Cricetulus griseus: one gene and its partners. The protein of the gene in region 2 interacts with the protein of the main gene of each other region in a biochemical or structural test. Links are inferred from orthologs where the notes say so. Each region holds a gene or a part of one and is shown on either strand. Other genes may lie near its edges.

Evidence for each region.
Region 1: of the proteins of Nedd4l (region 2) and Snca, one has a biochemical effect on the other in vitro, tested with the Homo sapiens proteins (3 studies listed by BioGRID). The link is inferred for Cricetulus griseus from reciprocal best matches to the Homo sapiens genes NEDD4L and SNCA.
Region 3: of the proteins of Nedd4l (region 2) and Sgk1, one has a biochemical effect on the other in vitro, tested with the Homo sapiens proteins (5 studies listed by BioGRID). The link is inferred for Cricetulus griseus from reciprocal best matches to the Homo sapiens genes NEDD4L and SGK1.

What each region holds. Positions count from the first base shown.
Region 1 is NC_048601.1:81,915,289-81,920,169, forward strand, and holds the start of Snca (alpha-synuclein), read left to right. Parts: upstream 1-1,775; coding exon 1,776-1,896; intron 1,897-4,881. UniProt on the Homo sapiens protein: Neuronal protein that plays several roles in synaptic activity such as regulation of synaptic vesicle trafficking and subsequent neurotransmitter release.
Region 2 is NC_048595.1:174,384,984-174,390,166, reverse strand, and holds the start of Nedd4l (E3 ubiquitin-protein ligase NEDD4-like), read left to right. Parts: upstream 1-2,167; 5' UTR 2,168-2,467; coding exon 2,468-2,515; intron 2,516-5,183. UniProt on the Homo sapiens protein: E3 ubiquitin-protein ligase that mediates the polyubiquitination of lysine and cysteine residues on target proteins and is thereby implicated in the regulation of various signaling pathways including autophagy, innate immunity or DNA repair.
Region 3 is NC_048595.1:267,813,687-267,818,715, reverse strand, and holds the start of Sgk1 (serine/threonine-protein kinase Sgk1), read left to right. Parts: upstream 1-1,591; 5' UTR 1,592-1,666; coding exon 1,667-1,784; intron 1,785-2,274; exon of another isoform or gene 2,275-2,349; coding exon of another isoform or gene 2,350-2,425; intron 2,426-2,573; coding exon 2,574-2,649; intron 2,650-3,078; coding exon 3,079-3,154; intron 3,155-3,415; coding exon 3,416-3,520; intron 3,521-3,631; coding exon 3,632-3,715; intron 3,716-3,814; coding exon 3,815-3,946; intron 3,947-4,147; coding exon 4,148-4,260; intron 4,261-4,547; coding exon 4,548-4,671; intron 4,672-5,029. UniProt on the Homo sapiens protein: Serine/threonine-protein kinase which is involved in the regulation of a wide variety of ion channels, membrane transporters, cellular enzymes, transcription factors, neuronal excitability, cell growth, proliferation, survival, migration and apoptosis.

The DNA of each region.
Region 1 (4,881 bases), on a different chromosome or scaffold from region 2:
GCTCCTCTTCACACTCAGAACCCTTTTAGGCTTAAGGGAAGTGGAAATCTCATACTGTATGAACAAAAGCATACAAAAGGGTGTGTTCTCCCTTCCCAGGGCCTGGCTCAGCACACAGGCAGTCTCAGGCGGTCCAGACAGCGTCCCAGCTCATCTCGGAGGAGGGGTCGCCCAGAGAAACCTGGAACAGGCGGAGGCAGGGATGGGGTGGGGGATGGGCAGGAAAGACATCAGCCTAAGTTCAACCTCTATAGAGCCCGGGGTCCCTGAACTCGGGGTGACTCTCAGGCCACCCTGTCTTCCCTCCTCCTGGGGAGCGTGCTTCTGGAACCCGCAGCCCTCACGCATCTCCATCCCATCCCTCCCCAGGAAAGGGACGAAGGCACGAGGCAGGCGAGGGGCGGGGAGAGGCGCTGACAAATCAGCTGCGGGGGCGACGTGGAGGAGCCGGGGAGCCAGAGCGCCTAGCAGCAGACGGCAGGAGACCAGCAGGTGCTGCCCCTGCCCCTCCGCCCAGAGCCTTCCTTTCCACTGCCACTGAAATAAGATCAGGGGCAGAGAGGAGGAATCTGAATTCTGCGAAGCCAAGGGCGCCGGTAAGTACCTGTAGATAGCAGCAGCTCTGGGGATCCCGGAGAACCCTGGCTAAGAGGAGTCCCGATGCCTGGGAGATCTCCAGCTGAGGCTACCTCAGCGGTGGGGACACGGCCAGTGCATTGAAAGTACATTACTTGGCTTTCCTCGCGCTAGAGACGTGCTCTTCCATTCTCCCAAAGCCCGAGGGGAAACCAGGCTGTTCGTGGCATCTGCTTTTTCGAGCGGAAACGCCAGGGTGTTTCGTGTTGGGTGCTGGGTCCTGGAAGCTGAGCGCTGGGCGTTGGGAGAAACCTGAGCATCCAACTTTCATCCCCCACCCCGGGCACGTTCTATCTCTTATCTGGAGTGTAAGGAGGCTACATTTGGCCAGTGATTAATAAAAGTGCCTAAGGCACTTGGCAACAGGTGATAAGGGGTTAATGAGCACGGGGGTGCAGGGTTTTCAAGCAGATTCCAGTTGAGGACAGGGCCCCCAGGTTGGGTAGAGCTGAAGTGAGCCGGCTCAAGTGTGTGGACAGCGCCTGCTCCGGGCAGATAACAGACTGGAGAGCTAGCAGTGGGTGGAAGGTCTTGTTAGATTTGAACAGCTGGGCTGATGACAGTTGGCGTGCTGTTCCCTTCATCTTGAAGTAAGCAGTTCCCTTCCTTCCCCTCTCCTAAGACTAAACACTTACTAACCCCTTTCTGAGTCCTTTTACCCTTGCCCCCGACTTCAGTACCCCCTTCCATTGGTTTTCTAGACAAGCTTTTTACTTAGAATGTCGCCTTTAGGCCCTGGGAACTTGATGGGGTAGAGTCCACCCATCTTGCCATGTAACTCCATTTTCCAGCTGCTGTAAGAATGGCCAGGTGATCCATCTGGATCCATCCCATCTTTAAGTGGCTTGACTCTTCCTAGATTTGAGTGAAAAAGCTGACAAGCAACACCATGCCCAGTCCTCAAAACAAGCAAGCAAGCAAGCAAACAAACAAACAAACAAACAAACAAAAAAAACGAGTGTTCATTTACACAGAGATTGGGGAGGGGGGGTCTCTACTGATTTTTCAGTGATTTCTTCCTTGATTTTTAAAAAAATTCTTCCCATTCTAGCTGCTTTAATCTTGTTTTCTTTTACTCAAATTTTTAATTCAAAGTGTATTGTGTATTCTCTAGAGTGGAGGAAAAGACATCTTTCGCCATGGATGTGTTCATGAAAGGACTTTCCAAGGCCAAGGAAGGAGTTGTGGCTGCTGCTGAAAAAACCAAGCAGGGTGTGGCAGAAGCAGCAGGAAAGACAAAAGAGGGAGTCCTCTATGTAGGTAGGTAGTGGTGCCGTGACTGATGAGTTGGAGTGGCTAATCACTCAGTGCTGGCATGTGGTGTCTGATTCATGCACATAGCTGCTTCTCAGGAGAGTGACAGGTATGTGGAGGTGAGAGAATTGTGAATCTGCTTGTTAGCTCTCAGAAACAAATGGGAACAATGTTTTCTTTCCTTAGAATACTTAATTTTATTGCTTACTTAGGGTTTTCCATGTTTCTGTGTGTGTGTGTGTGTGTGTGTGTGTGTGTGTGTGTGTGTGTGTGTGTGAGCACATTGGGATTTTTAAAACTGGCAACCCATGAAAAATAACTAAGAATATGCTTATGAATCAGACCCATTTACAGCAGCAGGATGGTGGCATGTGGAATCCCAACATTTGGGACATGGAGGCCCAAGGGTCAGGAGTTGAAGATCATCTTTAGCTACATAGTGAGTTCAGGGTCAGTCCAGTCTACATGAAATCCCATCACAAAACAAAACAAAACAAAACAAAACAAAACAAGAGGAGTCCCAGGCCCTCACGGGACTTTGGCTTCTTTCATCATCACCATAGATAATACTTGTTAATTGCAATTTTAAAAATAAAACTGTAGTATGATTGTATTTAATATCTGTGAAAATACACCTACTTTGGTCCCCCAATAGAAAAAAAAAAAAAGGCAAGTTGTTCTTAGTGGATCTCCCTTTTGAGATGAAGCTCAAGGAACCTCAGATGTGTTTGTGTAATCACCTGGATGATGCACACAGGAAAGAGCAAGAGGTTGATACTCGGTGCCTTTTGTGCCTAAGTGTAAACCTTGAGACAGAGGTCAACACTGTTTACTGGCTTTCCCTGTGTTAAACTGGTTGCACTTCCAGTACTTTGATGGAGGGAAAAGACATATATGTATGCATGCACATTCATCTCCAGCAGAGACCCAGGTGCACAAGGGAGCAAGGATGCATGACTCACCTGCCCCCTCTGTGCTTCTCTGAGCTTCCCTACCTTCTTAGGGGGCCTCTATCTCAGTAGAAGGCAAAGGGTCAACCTTAAGATGGAAATGGAACAGACAAGTGGCAGAGGTGACAGAGAGGCCACACACTGAGACTGAGACTTACCAAAAGTGGGAAGCTGTGCTGGCGCTCCAGCTCTAACTGATTAGTGGGAAAAAACCTTTCATGAACTTTCAAAGTTTCTAGCATATCACCTTTGCTCATTCCTCATAGATTGTTTTTATGTTGACTCCCTTTCCACCTCAAAACAACCTTTCAGAAAGTCTTGAAATGAATATTAAAAGAGAAAGGTGTGAGTCAAGTGCTTCTTTTGGGAACAGTGAGGTCAATGTTTTTGATAGAATCCAGAATATAAAATCAGTTATTTGTAGATTTTTCAGGGCCTCAAAGTCTCCCACATCCTGCAACTATAGACCCATGACTACATTTTTTAATTAGTTACTTAGTGAATGTTATCTTTCTTCTTTTTAGACAACTAGTCACCTAATTTTCTTTTTTAATTTTTTTTTTTTTTTTGAGACAGGGTTTCTCTTATGGTTCTGGCTGTCCTGAAACTCACTATTTAGACTAGTCTGGCCTTGAACTCACTGAAATCCACCTGCCTCTGCCTCCTGGTACTGGGATTAAAGGCATGTGTCACCACCTTCCAGCTAGAGCATTAATTTTAAGCAAATGTAGAAGTTACTGAATATTAATTTATTATTCTTTCTAGTTAATAAACAGATCTTATCAAGTAGAACACTTTCATGTTTTATTGTTAATTGTGAGTTTAGGCAAATAAAGTGATTAGATTTTTCAAAGATTAATTTTGTTGTTCACTGCGAGGCAATTATGTAAAAAGCATAATGTTTCAATAAGTCTAATGTTACTAAAATTATCAATGTTGTTATATTTAATACATATATAATTAATCAATTGCTGGTTATGTTCTGGAGTCTAATTAAAAGCTGAACGTGGGTGGTGGTGGCACATGCCTTTAATTCCAGCACTGGGGAGGCAGAGACAGGTGGATCTTTGTGAGTTTGAGGCCAGCCTGGTCTACAGAGTTCAAGGACAGGCTCCAAAGCAATACAGAGAAACCCTGTCTCAACAAAACCAACCAATCAAACAAACAAAAAAAAGCCAAACACATGCATAGAATTTACTATGAAAAGTGAGGTCTAAAGGTAAGAATTAAGTTAAGATTTTGGTCAACTTTTGTTAATTTTCAAACTTATTTCGGCCAATCTGTCTCAGATAATCAGGTCTACTGTTAAAGTGTGAAAGCAACCATGGGCAATAACCAGTGTGGTGCTGTTTCAGTTTTTATTTATCAAAACAAGAAGCTGGGGTTAACTTATAGGCTAGAAAAAAGTGAAAGGGAATTGGGCTATAACTTATCAAACAAACATAAATTTAATACAAGCTACATCACTTCTACCTTTAGGATCTTGAGGAAGTTAATGTCTTTGAATTTCCTTCCCTTTTCCACAAATAATGTAGTTCATAAAAGTACAATTCCTTTGCAGAGCTTTTGTGGAAATGTGTAACCAAGTGCACTTTCATATTTAGGAAACTTGATTTTTATTAAATAAGCTATTCCACTCAACATGATTTCCTCTTATTTTTCACCAAATATATAAAACTATCATCAATAATTAGCCTGAAGGATTAGAAATAATCTGGGCTACAATTTGTCTCAGTGGCACGGTGGTTGTCTGTGTGCATGCAGCACTGGTCTCGATCTCTGTATCAGAAATCAAAAGATTTAAGAAGTATTAAAAGCAATTAAAGAAAAATTTTAAATTTCACCTATGTCTGAAATGTTTGGCAGAAGCCTCACCTCATTCTTTTATAACAAATGCTTTGGACAACTGCCTTTTAAGTAACTGAAGAACTGCCACAGTAATCAATGTGCTGTTTTTCTTTGTGATATTTGCATAAAATTTTCAATTAATATAGTTTAGTTGCAGAAACATGTGCCAATGGCATGACATATAATTACAAAT
Region 2 (5,183 bases):
ATGGTCATGAATAGTTGCTCCATGGATAGGCTGCATCCCTGGAACTCCCTGCCCAACTTCCAGGGAGTGCCACTGGAGAGCTGGCCTTTCTCTCAACAATTTACTGTTTTTATGTAACCAGCTCAGGGCTTGTAAGCCTTATAACTGTCTGGGGGAGTCTGCCTCGATCCTGGAGAGAATGTTTCTATTTGGAGAGACTAGTTGTTTAAGTCAGCCTTACCTCTAGGATCAGAAATGAACATTTTTCTTAAAATTTGTTTTATTTATATGTGTATGTCTGCATGCGTGTGTGCCCATATGTGAAGACGGAAGTACTCATTTGATCCTGTGCAGTTCCAGTTACAGGCATTCGAAGGAGGATAGGCTTGTAACCAAATCATCTCTGGAAACCCCCCCCCCCCCGCCAGAAAGATGGTTTTCTTTCTGGAGTTTATTAGCTCTTTCTACTGACCTTGTAACATAAGGTGCAAATTTGACAAAGTTCTGCTTGTGTATATTAAGGAACTTCCATTTATATGGGTCAGAGGCACAGAGAAGGGCGTGTAAAATGAGTGTGTGTGTGTGTGTGTGTGTGTGTGTGTGTCCGTGTACTTTTTATAAAAAAGAAAAATAGTCTAGGTTTGATAAGTTGAAAATTCTTGATGGGAAAACACGAGCAGAGTTCTGGGAAATGTTCCTTCACAATCTTTATTTTTCTTGGTAGGGCTCTTGTGGCACCTAAGCGCCATATAAACTTGATGGCTCTGAATTCCGAGGATTCGGAGCAGTGTGTTGATTCCACAAGGCTGGCTTCAAAGGAAAGCTATTACATGGGACACATTGCAAGGGATGAAAGGGAGAGCTAAAGTTGGGGAGTGTGGGACCGCCTTTCAGGGTGTACACCAGGTATTTGATCATTAAGGTGGGCCAGGCAAGGTGACTCTGTTGATCTGTTCTCTCTTCCTTCAGTGAAAATCCTAACCTCCCAGACAAAACCAGACACTCTGATGATTTCTTTTTAAAGGAAAATAGCACGTTCTTTCTGTTCTTGTTTCTAATTTACCACTGCACACAACACTTATTTTTAGGATCGAATGCCTTCCTTTTGTTTTTGTTTTTTTTTTTTGTTTGGGTTTTTTGGTTTTTCGAGACAGGGTTCTCTGTGGCTTTGGAGGCTGTCCTGGAACTCACTCTGTAGACCAGATTGGCCTTGAACTCGCAGAGATCTGCCTGCCTCTGCCTCCCCAGTACTGGGATTAAAAGGCGTGTGCCACCACGGCTGGCTCTTAGGGGAGGCTTCTTGAAAAAAGTAGAGTGACGAATTTCTCTTAACTTATTTAAAGTAGCTTCTTGCATTCCTGTACTTCGAAAGATTAAATGAAGGGCTTGCTAGAGAAATTCCCTATCTGGAATGTGGGAAGACTCCTACGGTGGCTAATAAGACGTCTCCAAGGTTTGCATATGTAAAGGACAAACTTAAAGTTGAATTTGGTATTTCACGTTGTGCCTTACAAAAAAAGCCCGAGCTTTTATCAAAGAACCAGGCAGCCCGGTTTCAAGTGGGTGGGTGTGTACTCAGCGCGGGCGCAGAGTTGGTTTTGTTCCCAGTAGAGTTGACATCGGCAATGGCGACTCGCGGCCACAACGGGGCAGCCTCTCCTAGGCTGGCCGCCCGGCCAGGCGAATCCTTTCGGGGAGCTGACGCGGTGAGCCAAGTCTGGCCTGCCATAGCTGCCAAGAATTTAAAGGGGGTCTAGAAACATGCATCGTCGCCCCTTTAACGCTCCTGGAGACTTCGGGTTAAGAAAAAAAAAAGAAAGATAAAAATGGAAACAATGGTTTTGTTGTTGTTTGCACGGCGTCTTCATGGTCCCCCTAAGGTCCACTCCACCGGGTCCCCAAGGCAGAGAAAAGCGGGGCAAGTAAGAGGGTCAGCCCGGCAGGCCCAGCCCGCCAGGGCGCGCCCCAGTCCAGGACTCTGCGGCGGGTGACCCAGGAGGCGCTGGGGGTGGGGTGGGCGTGGGGCGAAACACCACCACCCCCGCGGCCCGCCCCCCAACCCGGCCTGTGATTGGCTTGGGGGGCGCCAGTGCCCGCCCCGGCGAACGGGAGGGTCGCCGTGGGCGCCGGGCGGCGCAGGCGGGGCGGAGAGGGCGGGCCGGGCGGAGCAGGCGAGGGGCGGGGGCGCGGGTCCCAGGGATCGCTGAGCGGGGCTTGGGGAGGCCGGGAGAGCCAGCGGCGGGGGCGGGAGCCCGCGGGCTGAGCGCTGAGCAGAGAGAGCGCTCGGCCAGCCGCCGCTCGGCGCGCTCTCGGAGCCGCCAGTCCGCGCGTCCCCGCAGCCTTCCGGGAGGAAGCGGCGCCGCGGCCGGGTGCAGCCTCACCTGCCGGCCCTTCCCCGCCCGGCGGCGCAGAAGGACAGAGGGTCGCGGCCCCGCGACGCACTTCAGCCGATCGCAGCGTCTAGGACCCCGCGCGGGGCGCCGGCTCCATGGCGACCGGGCTCGGGGAGCCCGTCTACGGACTTTCGGAAGAGGAGGTGAGTTTCTGCCTAGAGCGTTGTGGGGAGAGGACGGGGCCACTCCGCTGCGCGCGTCCCTTGCTAGCAGTGGGTCCCGGAATCCGGGTGACCCAGAGCGGTCCGGAGCGGTGGGTGACTTGTCCGGGTGAAGCGCTCCGCTCCTCTGCCCGGGGCTCTCGGGGTGGGCGGAGGCCGCGTGAGTCGCTGCCCCGCGGGTCCCTTTCCTCTGCAAGCTGCGTCTCTCAGGGCTGTTAGGCAACTTTCCTGGTCATGCCCCTGCAGCCAGGAGTCCGTGACAAGTGTCACGTCTGGGTCGCTGCAGGGGTCTCTGCGTGGCGCAGGCTATCTGGGGATTGTTGAGGAGCCTGGTGGTGTCTCCTTCTGGGACTTTTCTTGCTAGTGGGCGCTCGGCAGCGGATGTGTGCAGATCCCGGGGGGGGGGGGGGTGACACCGGGAGAGTTGTGTACGGCCGCCCCTGGGTCTTGCAAAGTCTGGAGCTGGGATTGTGCGTTTCGAACTCCTCTATTTTGGTGTGTGGAGGTGATCTGAGAAGGAGGCAGGTGCTGCAGGAAACTTAGGGGAAGCTTGCAGCCCTGCCATTTCTCCTTCGTCAAGAGGATTCAAAGCCCCGCACCTCTGGGGTGGGTGGAGAGAAGAAAGCTCCATTGATCTCTTTTATTAATAAAACGAATGAAATAAGCCACACCCCCAAACGGTCGGTTTGACTGGAGAGGGCTTTGTTTTTAAAAAATCTCACTCGCTCATCGCGGTCCCCACTCCCCCTTTTGAAAGGATCCTGCTAAATCACTGCTCAGCCCTCACTCGACCAGCCATTCTCGACTCTTATTGGTGTGTTGCTCTGCCAAAAAGGGGGGTGGGAGGCCTGTCGCGGGCTCGGAGTGACAGGCAGGCTGGATGGAGCAGGTAGGAGTGGTTCGCCATCTGGCGGGGTGCGCGCCCAGGTCTGGCTCCCCTTTCGAGAGGTGAATTTACAACCCATGAAGCATTACTCAGCGGGGAGGTATTTCCTATCCTGGTTGTGCATTTCATGAAAAGTGGATGCCTGGAAATTTGGGCTTTCTTGATTTCTCTTTCTTACCCTCGCTCCTTTCTTTCTGAGGTTCTCTCTTTCTCTGGAGATGGGGGTGGGGTTTAAAGAGAGTCTATTATGTGAGACCGATTCACAGATTCACGTTATGGCTTTGCTTTCAGCAGCTTCCCTATTGGCATGTGTGTGTGTGTGTGTGTGTGTGTGTGTGTGTGTGTGTGTGTGTGTGTACTGCTTTCCTACTGTGGCATGGTGTGTGAGTGTGTGTATTCTACCTAAGTGTGGAATGAAATGGGTATCTTGAGGTAGGCAGGGCATGTAAGGGTTGATTTTATTTTTTGATAGTGCTTGCTGGATTGCTTATTTTATCAAAGAATGATCACAATGCAAATAATGTGTGATATGTTTTTGATTATTTGTCATGCTTGTGTAAAATAAAGTGTGTGTGTGTGTGTGTGTGTGTGTGTGTGTGTGTGTGTGTGTGTGTGCTGTTAGCTGTTACCTGGAGATGGGTGAAAGTAGACTTGTTTTGTTTACCCAGGGGATTCTCCTCCTAGCTCCTTGTCTAGAGCTGGAGGGCAGTCTGAGCTCTTGGAGGTGCTGAGATACTGAACAAAGGGCTCCCTGGATGAGGTATCAAGGGAGATGAAGACAGCTGCGTTTCTTCTTAGGGTCTCTTAATTTTTAAAAATAACATGCTTATTTTTAAAAGCTCCTTGAAAGAAATATTTTAAGGGTGTTTTGGGAAATGTATCTGCCTAAAGGAATCCTATCTGTCACTGGTGTGCGCGCGCTTTGTTTATGCTGGCAGCCAGTGTCAGAATCCACCTCAGGAGCATCTTGACACTTTTGTCTCCGAGAATCGCTGCTGATCCTGACTGGTGTGGGGTGTCAAAGTGGAGAACATAGACACAAGAACCGAGTGTGCCTGTGACTGTTCGCTCCTGCGTATTGTCAGAGGGACTGTATAGGGAATAGCAAGAGGAGATGAAAAACACTATTTATGTATTCTGTTTAGTTCCTCAAACATCATATATGATCCAAAATAAGCTGCATCTGCCTCCCTTTTTCATTTTTCTATCACCAATAGAAAATGATTGCCTTCATATTTCTAAGGCAATTGTTTGGTGTGGGAGGTTTCCCTCTGTTCAGGGAGGGGGCCATTTGAAGACATACAGAACTCCTTCATATAGTATTAACACCAAATTGTTAAATTTGCTTGCTTTGTCGCCTCTCCCGAATTAGTGTGTAAGCAAACAAATGAGAGTAATTAACAGGCTCTGAAAGTGGACTGCCTGATGAAATGAACAGCACTAGAGGCTTGTCAAGTTGTGTTAAATAGTGAGCACCAGAGGGCTGCAAGTATCACATGGAGACACCCGTGTAGGGGTAGAGAGGAGTCTACTTGTAGACCTTGAGAAAATCGGGCACTGTACCCAGGGTTTCCTTGTAGGTAGACATGTGTTCATGTTTGATAGTGGCAGAAAGCTTTATGTATTTGGAAGGAACTTAGTCATGCCCCATCTTATAAAGCCACTGTGAGCTATGTACTGCTATTGGTCAAGCATAGTGCTAACCTAGAGCATAGCAGGATGGCAGGGCCAAGACATCGCTGCTTGGGGCATCAGCCTAAGGTC
Region 3 (5,029 bases), about 93 Mb from region 2:
CCTGGAAAGGTTCGTGTTTTGAGTACTATAGTTTGGATGGGATGGCTAAAACAAAGATACCTGGGAGAAGCGCTTGGGGAAGCTCTGAAGTTAGGTGACATAGTAGGGAGGGTCTCTGATGGAAGACGTCTTGATTTCATGTTTTAAAACGAATAAGCAATCTTTCAGAGACTGGTGTTTCAGACCAAACCTTTTTTTTTTCAGAGGGGAAGGAACCAGGAAGGAGGGGGTACAGGATGGGGTGCAGCAGGACTAGTCTAAATAAATGACTGCTGCCACGTGGTTTTTGGAGGCACTCACAGGCAATAACAAATTCACAGTTTGTGCAGAATTCAAGCACGGACAAAGCAGCATGGGCTAACTGCTGTGATTTGGAGTTGCCTATACACCTTGTTTTAGGTTGGAGTGCCAATTTCAGGCACCCTAAGTGCGTTTTGAAGAGTGTCCACAAAGCAAAATCTTGTCTTCAAAGAGGGGATGTGCGTCCCCTTCAACGGGTCTCTGGCTGTCTGAAAGTGAGGAAATCAAGCAGCAGCTGAGACTAGAGATCACATTAGGGCATGTGAGGTGGCTGTGGCTGTAAAACAAACTCCTGCCCAATACGGAGGGAAAAGAGCTTCGCATGCTTTTCCTGGCTTGACAACTGGTATTTTGGAGTGTGTCAGCTCTAAAATGTTGGGCCCTTCTCAGCGAGGGGTCATGGCAGGGCAGTCACCGCAGACAGCACCAGCCAGCGCCAGGTACTGGCTCTGAGAGTCTTGCTTACTTGTAGCCACGTTCCCGCCCCTGGTCCAGACCGGTGCTCCCGGCTTCCTAGCCAGCGCTGGCGCGGGTCGCCGCGTTGGCGGTCAGGCTATAGCGCCAGGCATCCCCCAGCGGCGGGGTTACTGCAAGGTACCTCACTCCTCTAGCCAGCTCAGGCTACCTCCTGCAGCTTTCCTCTGTTCCTAGTTTTCTGAAACGAGTCTCTTAACCTTTAAAGAGTTAACGAGTTTCAGTTATATGTGAACTTGCAAGAAAAAGCAAGGTTAGAAAATTAAGACTACTTGGGCCCGCTGTGAGGTAACTCAAAGGAGAGTAGGGAAGATGCGGAATAACGAACGGAGCTTAAGGCGATGCAACGCAATTTTGCATTTTCTTGTGAGAGAGCAGCAGGTCCCCTGGCAGGGGAATCGACGTCGCAAGGGTCACTCCAGGTCGGCTCCCAGAGCGAAGCCCCTGCTCCCCCTAACTTAACACCTCCTCACGTGTTCTTGGCATGGCTAGGATTAAAATTTGCAAGGCACAAAAATTATATGCGGAACGGACAGAATGTTCTCGGAGATTAGTTGAAAAAAAAAGTGAAATGAAGATTGTACTTTTTTTTCTTGTAGTGCAGAGACTTATTTCCGCCCCCTCCCCTACACATTCCTGACCCCCCTCCCCCCGCTCTTTCCTTCCTTCCTTCCTCCTCTTCCAAGTTCTGGGATTTTTCAGCCTTGCTTGGTTTTGGCCAAAAGCACAAAAAAGGCGTTTTCGGAAGCGACTCGGCCGTGCACAAGGGACATTTGTTTGTTTTGGGACTGGGGCAGGAAATCTTGCCGGCCTGAGTCACGGCGGCTCCTTCAAGGAAACGTCAGTGTTCGCCGGTCGTTGTCGCCCGCTGCGCGCCCCTCAGTCCGCGGCCATGGGGGAGATGCAGGGTGCGCTAGCGCGGGCTCGGCTCGAGTCCCTGCTCCGGCCCCGCCACAAAAAGCGGGCGGAGGCGCAGAAAAGGAGCGAGTCGGTCCTGCTGAGCGGACTGGGTAAGCACCGCCGCCCGGCCCGCGGGGACTCGGCTCCGGAGGGGTATGGGTGGGTGGAGGTCGGATGGAGACGGGAGGACGGCGCCGCACAGGACCCGGCGGATGCGAGCCGGGCACCGGGTCGGGAGAGCGAGGAGGGGAGAGGTCGGTGCTGAGCGGCGCTCCGCTCGGGCAGTGCAGGAGAGGAAATGGAAAATCACCGGGGCTCTCCACCCCTCCAGTCCCCTCCTTCTGCCCGGGCGGACGGAGGCCGAGTGTCCCCCTGAGCCCGGGTCCTGCTCGCACAGCCCTTGAACCCTCGGCCCTGCCGGGGCGGTCAGCACAGCTCACCCAGGATCAGGCGGCCAGCCACCCGCATCCGCCCGGGTCCCGGTCAGCAGTCGCAGTGGCGGCCGGGGGCGGGGCCTCGAGGTGGGCGGAGCCCGGAGCTCCGCTTCCTCATCATTGTTCCGCCGGCCCCGCCCCCGCGGCGGCGCAGAGCATATAAAGGCTGCCGCGCGGCCGGGGTGCGCTGTTGGCTAAGCCGGTTTCACTGCTCCGTCTTGTCTCTGGTCTTTTCGGGGCGATGACTGTGAAAACCGAGGCTGCTCGAAGCACCCTCACTTACTCCAGAATGAGGGGAATGGTAGCGATTCTCATCGGTGAGTGCTGGAAAAGCACCGGACTTGAATAGGAGAGACGACGTGAAAGGCTGGAGGGTTTTGAAGGTTCGGGATCAGATTAGCGTGTGGCGTCGGACGTTACGGAGCCGCCTAAACCTTTTCTTTTTCCTCTCTTTTTAATTCACAGCTTTCATGAAGCAGAGAAGGATGGGCCTGAACGACTTTATTCAGAAGATCGCCAACAACTCCTATGCATGCAAACAGTAAGTTTGGGGTAATTAAAGAAAATAAAAAGAATCGTTTAAGTTTAGCAGCCGCTAAGACATACTATTACCACTTTGTTCATCGGGGGAAGCCGAAGTATTTTCTCTGGGGTAGAGATCTCTTGGTCTTGAGCATTTAGCTTATCTGAAATAATTCTAAACATTAATATTAATTTATGGGTCGAACCTGCCCTGGAGATGTAAGATTAATTCGCGTGCATGTTTATCAAATTTCACGTCCTCTCTCGATGGACCAACCTCAATTTGTATATTTAACCGGGTTATTTTCTTAACCTACGTTTTTGTAAGTAATTCATTCAGATGTTTTCGGTTTAAACGGTGAACGGTTGAGTCAGAAATTGAGCTTATGTCGGTGTGCCCTCTGGTGGCGAGTTAAGAGTTTCTAAACCGGTCCTTTAATCCCCGCAGCCCTGAAGTTCAGTCCATTTTGAAAATCTCCCAACCTCAGGAGCCCGAGCTTATGAACGCCAACCCCTCTCCTCCGGTAAGTACTCTTTTCTGGAGGGAAATGGTAAATGAATCTGTAGTGGTCAGTTAAGACATCATTTGAAAAAATTATTTATTGTGAAGGTAGGAATGTCTTCAAAACATAACAAGTGGCATAAGTGTTTAAGTATTGAGTCACTGGAATGTTTTGAAAGGCATATTTCATAAACTTGTATCTGCTACCAGTTGGCTGTGTGCAGCTTTTACGTACTCACAGATATTATCATAGATATTAAAGGGCGATGTTTTTGTTTTCTAGCCAAGTCCTTCTCAACAAATCAACCTTGGTCCGTCCTCCAATCCTCATGCTAAACCATCTGACTTCCATTTCTTGAAAGTGATTGGAAAGGGCAGTTTTGGAAAGGTAATTTTCAAATATGACAGCTTTAAAACTATGCTCTTTTGTGCATTCATTTGCACATTCTCCCTGGATGAGGATAGAAAAAAAATTTGACTTGTTTGATTGACATTTCAGGTTCTTCTAGCCAGACACAAGGCAGAAGAAGCATTCTATGCGGTCAAAGTTTTACAGAAGAAGGCTATCCTGAAAAAGAAGGAGGTAGGAGTGACACCTGATGGCCTTAGTGATTATCTTTACCCTGTTATTTGGTGCCAGGCTGAAGTCTGAATTTGGTACTGAATGTCACCTTTTTCCTAGGAGAAGCATATCATGTCAGAGCGGAACGTTCTGCTGAAGAATGTGAAGCACCCTTTCCTGGTGGGCCTCCACTTCTCTTTCCAGACTGCCGACAAACTGTACTTTGTCCTTGACTACATTAACGGTGGAGAGGTGAGCTGGGGGAATAGACCTCTAGAGGTGGTGGGGTTTCTCTGCTCAGCTTGCTTGGTTCAAGGAATCAACATTTTCTTGAACTTATCAATTTATTATTAATCTATTTCAAGCCACTTTCTGCAGTCTTTCTCTTCAGGCTTATGTGTCAGACTTGATTAAATGGCCCCACTCAGCCTTGCTTTGTTTTGTCTCTTGCAGCTGTTCTACCATCTCCAGAGGGAACGCTGCTTCCTAGAACCACGGGCTCGCTTCTATGCTGCTGAAATAGCAAGTGCCTTGGGCTATCTGCACTCCTTGAACATAGTTTATAGGTAAGTCGGAGGCAAAGCAACCTGGCTGGGAAGGAGGGAGGCCTGGCGGAGCCTTTGGAGTCTTAAAATATGTGATTATGTACAATTCGGTCACTTCTAAAACTTCCCTAGCATGTGAGCCAGCCAAGAGGGTGGTTCCTAATCCAGGCCAGCAGAGCAAAGACTCCTTTCTGTGATTGGCTATGGAGCAGCAAGGGATTAAAAGTCCTAATCCCTTTAGCAGTCTTTCCAGGGGATTTGTCATGAAGTGAAATTAACCTATGCAACCACTTTTCATTTTCCCACAGAGACTTAAAGCCAGAGAATATTCTCCTGGACTCACAGGGACACATTGTCCTGACTGACTTTGGGCTCTGCAAGGAAAACATTGAGCACAACGGTACCACGTCCACCTTCTGTGGCACACCTGAGGTAGGCACTCTTGACTTGGTGCCTGATCTACCTCCCCTTTCCAAAAGAGACATGTGCAGTAAGGCTTTTACATACAAAAAGTAAACTCTAAAGCAATTTCTTAGTATGATTCAGTACAAGTAAAGTAAGTTTAGTGTTTCACTGAGGATCTCCAAGGCCTTCTGTGGTTTTCATTCAAGCTAGCTGTAAGATCCATGTCATAAGAGATCCTCAGTTTCACTAGGTACTAAGTTGCTCTCTAAATGCATCAGTGCTCACACAGGGGGCCAGTTACCCTCAGAGAGTATAGCGGTTTTAACGAGGCAGTAATCCAAAATATACCCAGCAAGTTGACTGGTTCTCAGACTTTTCCAAATAC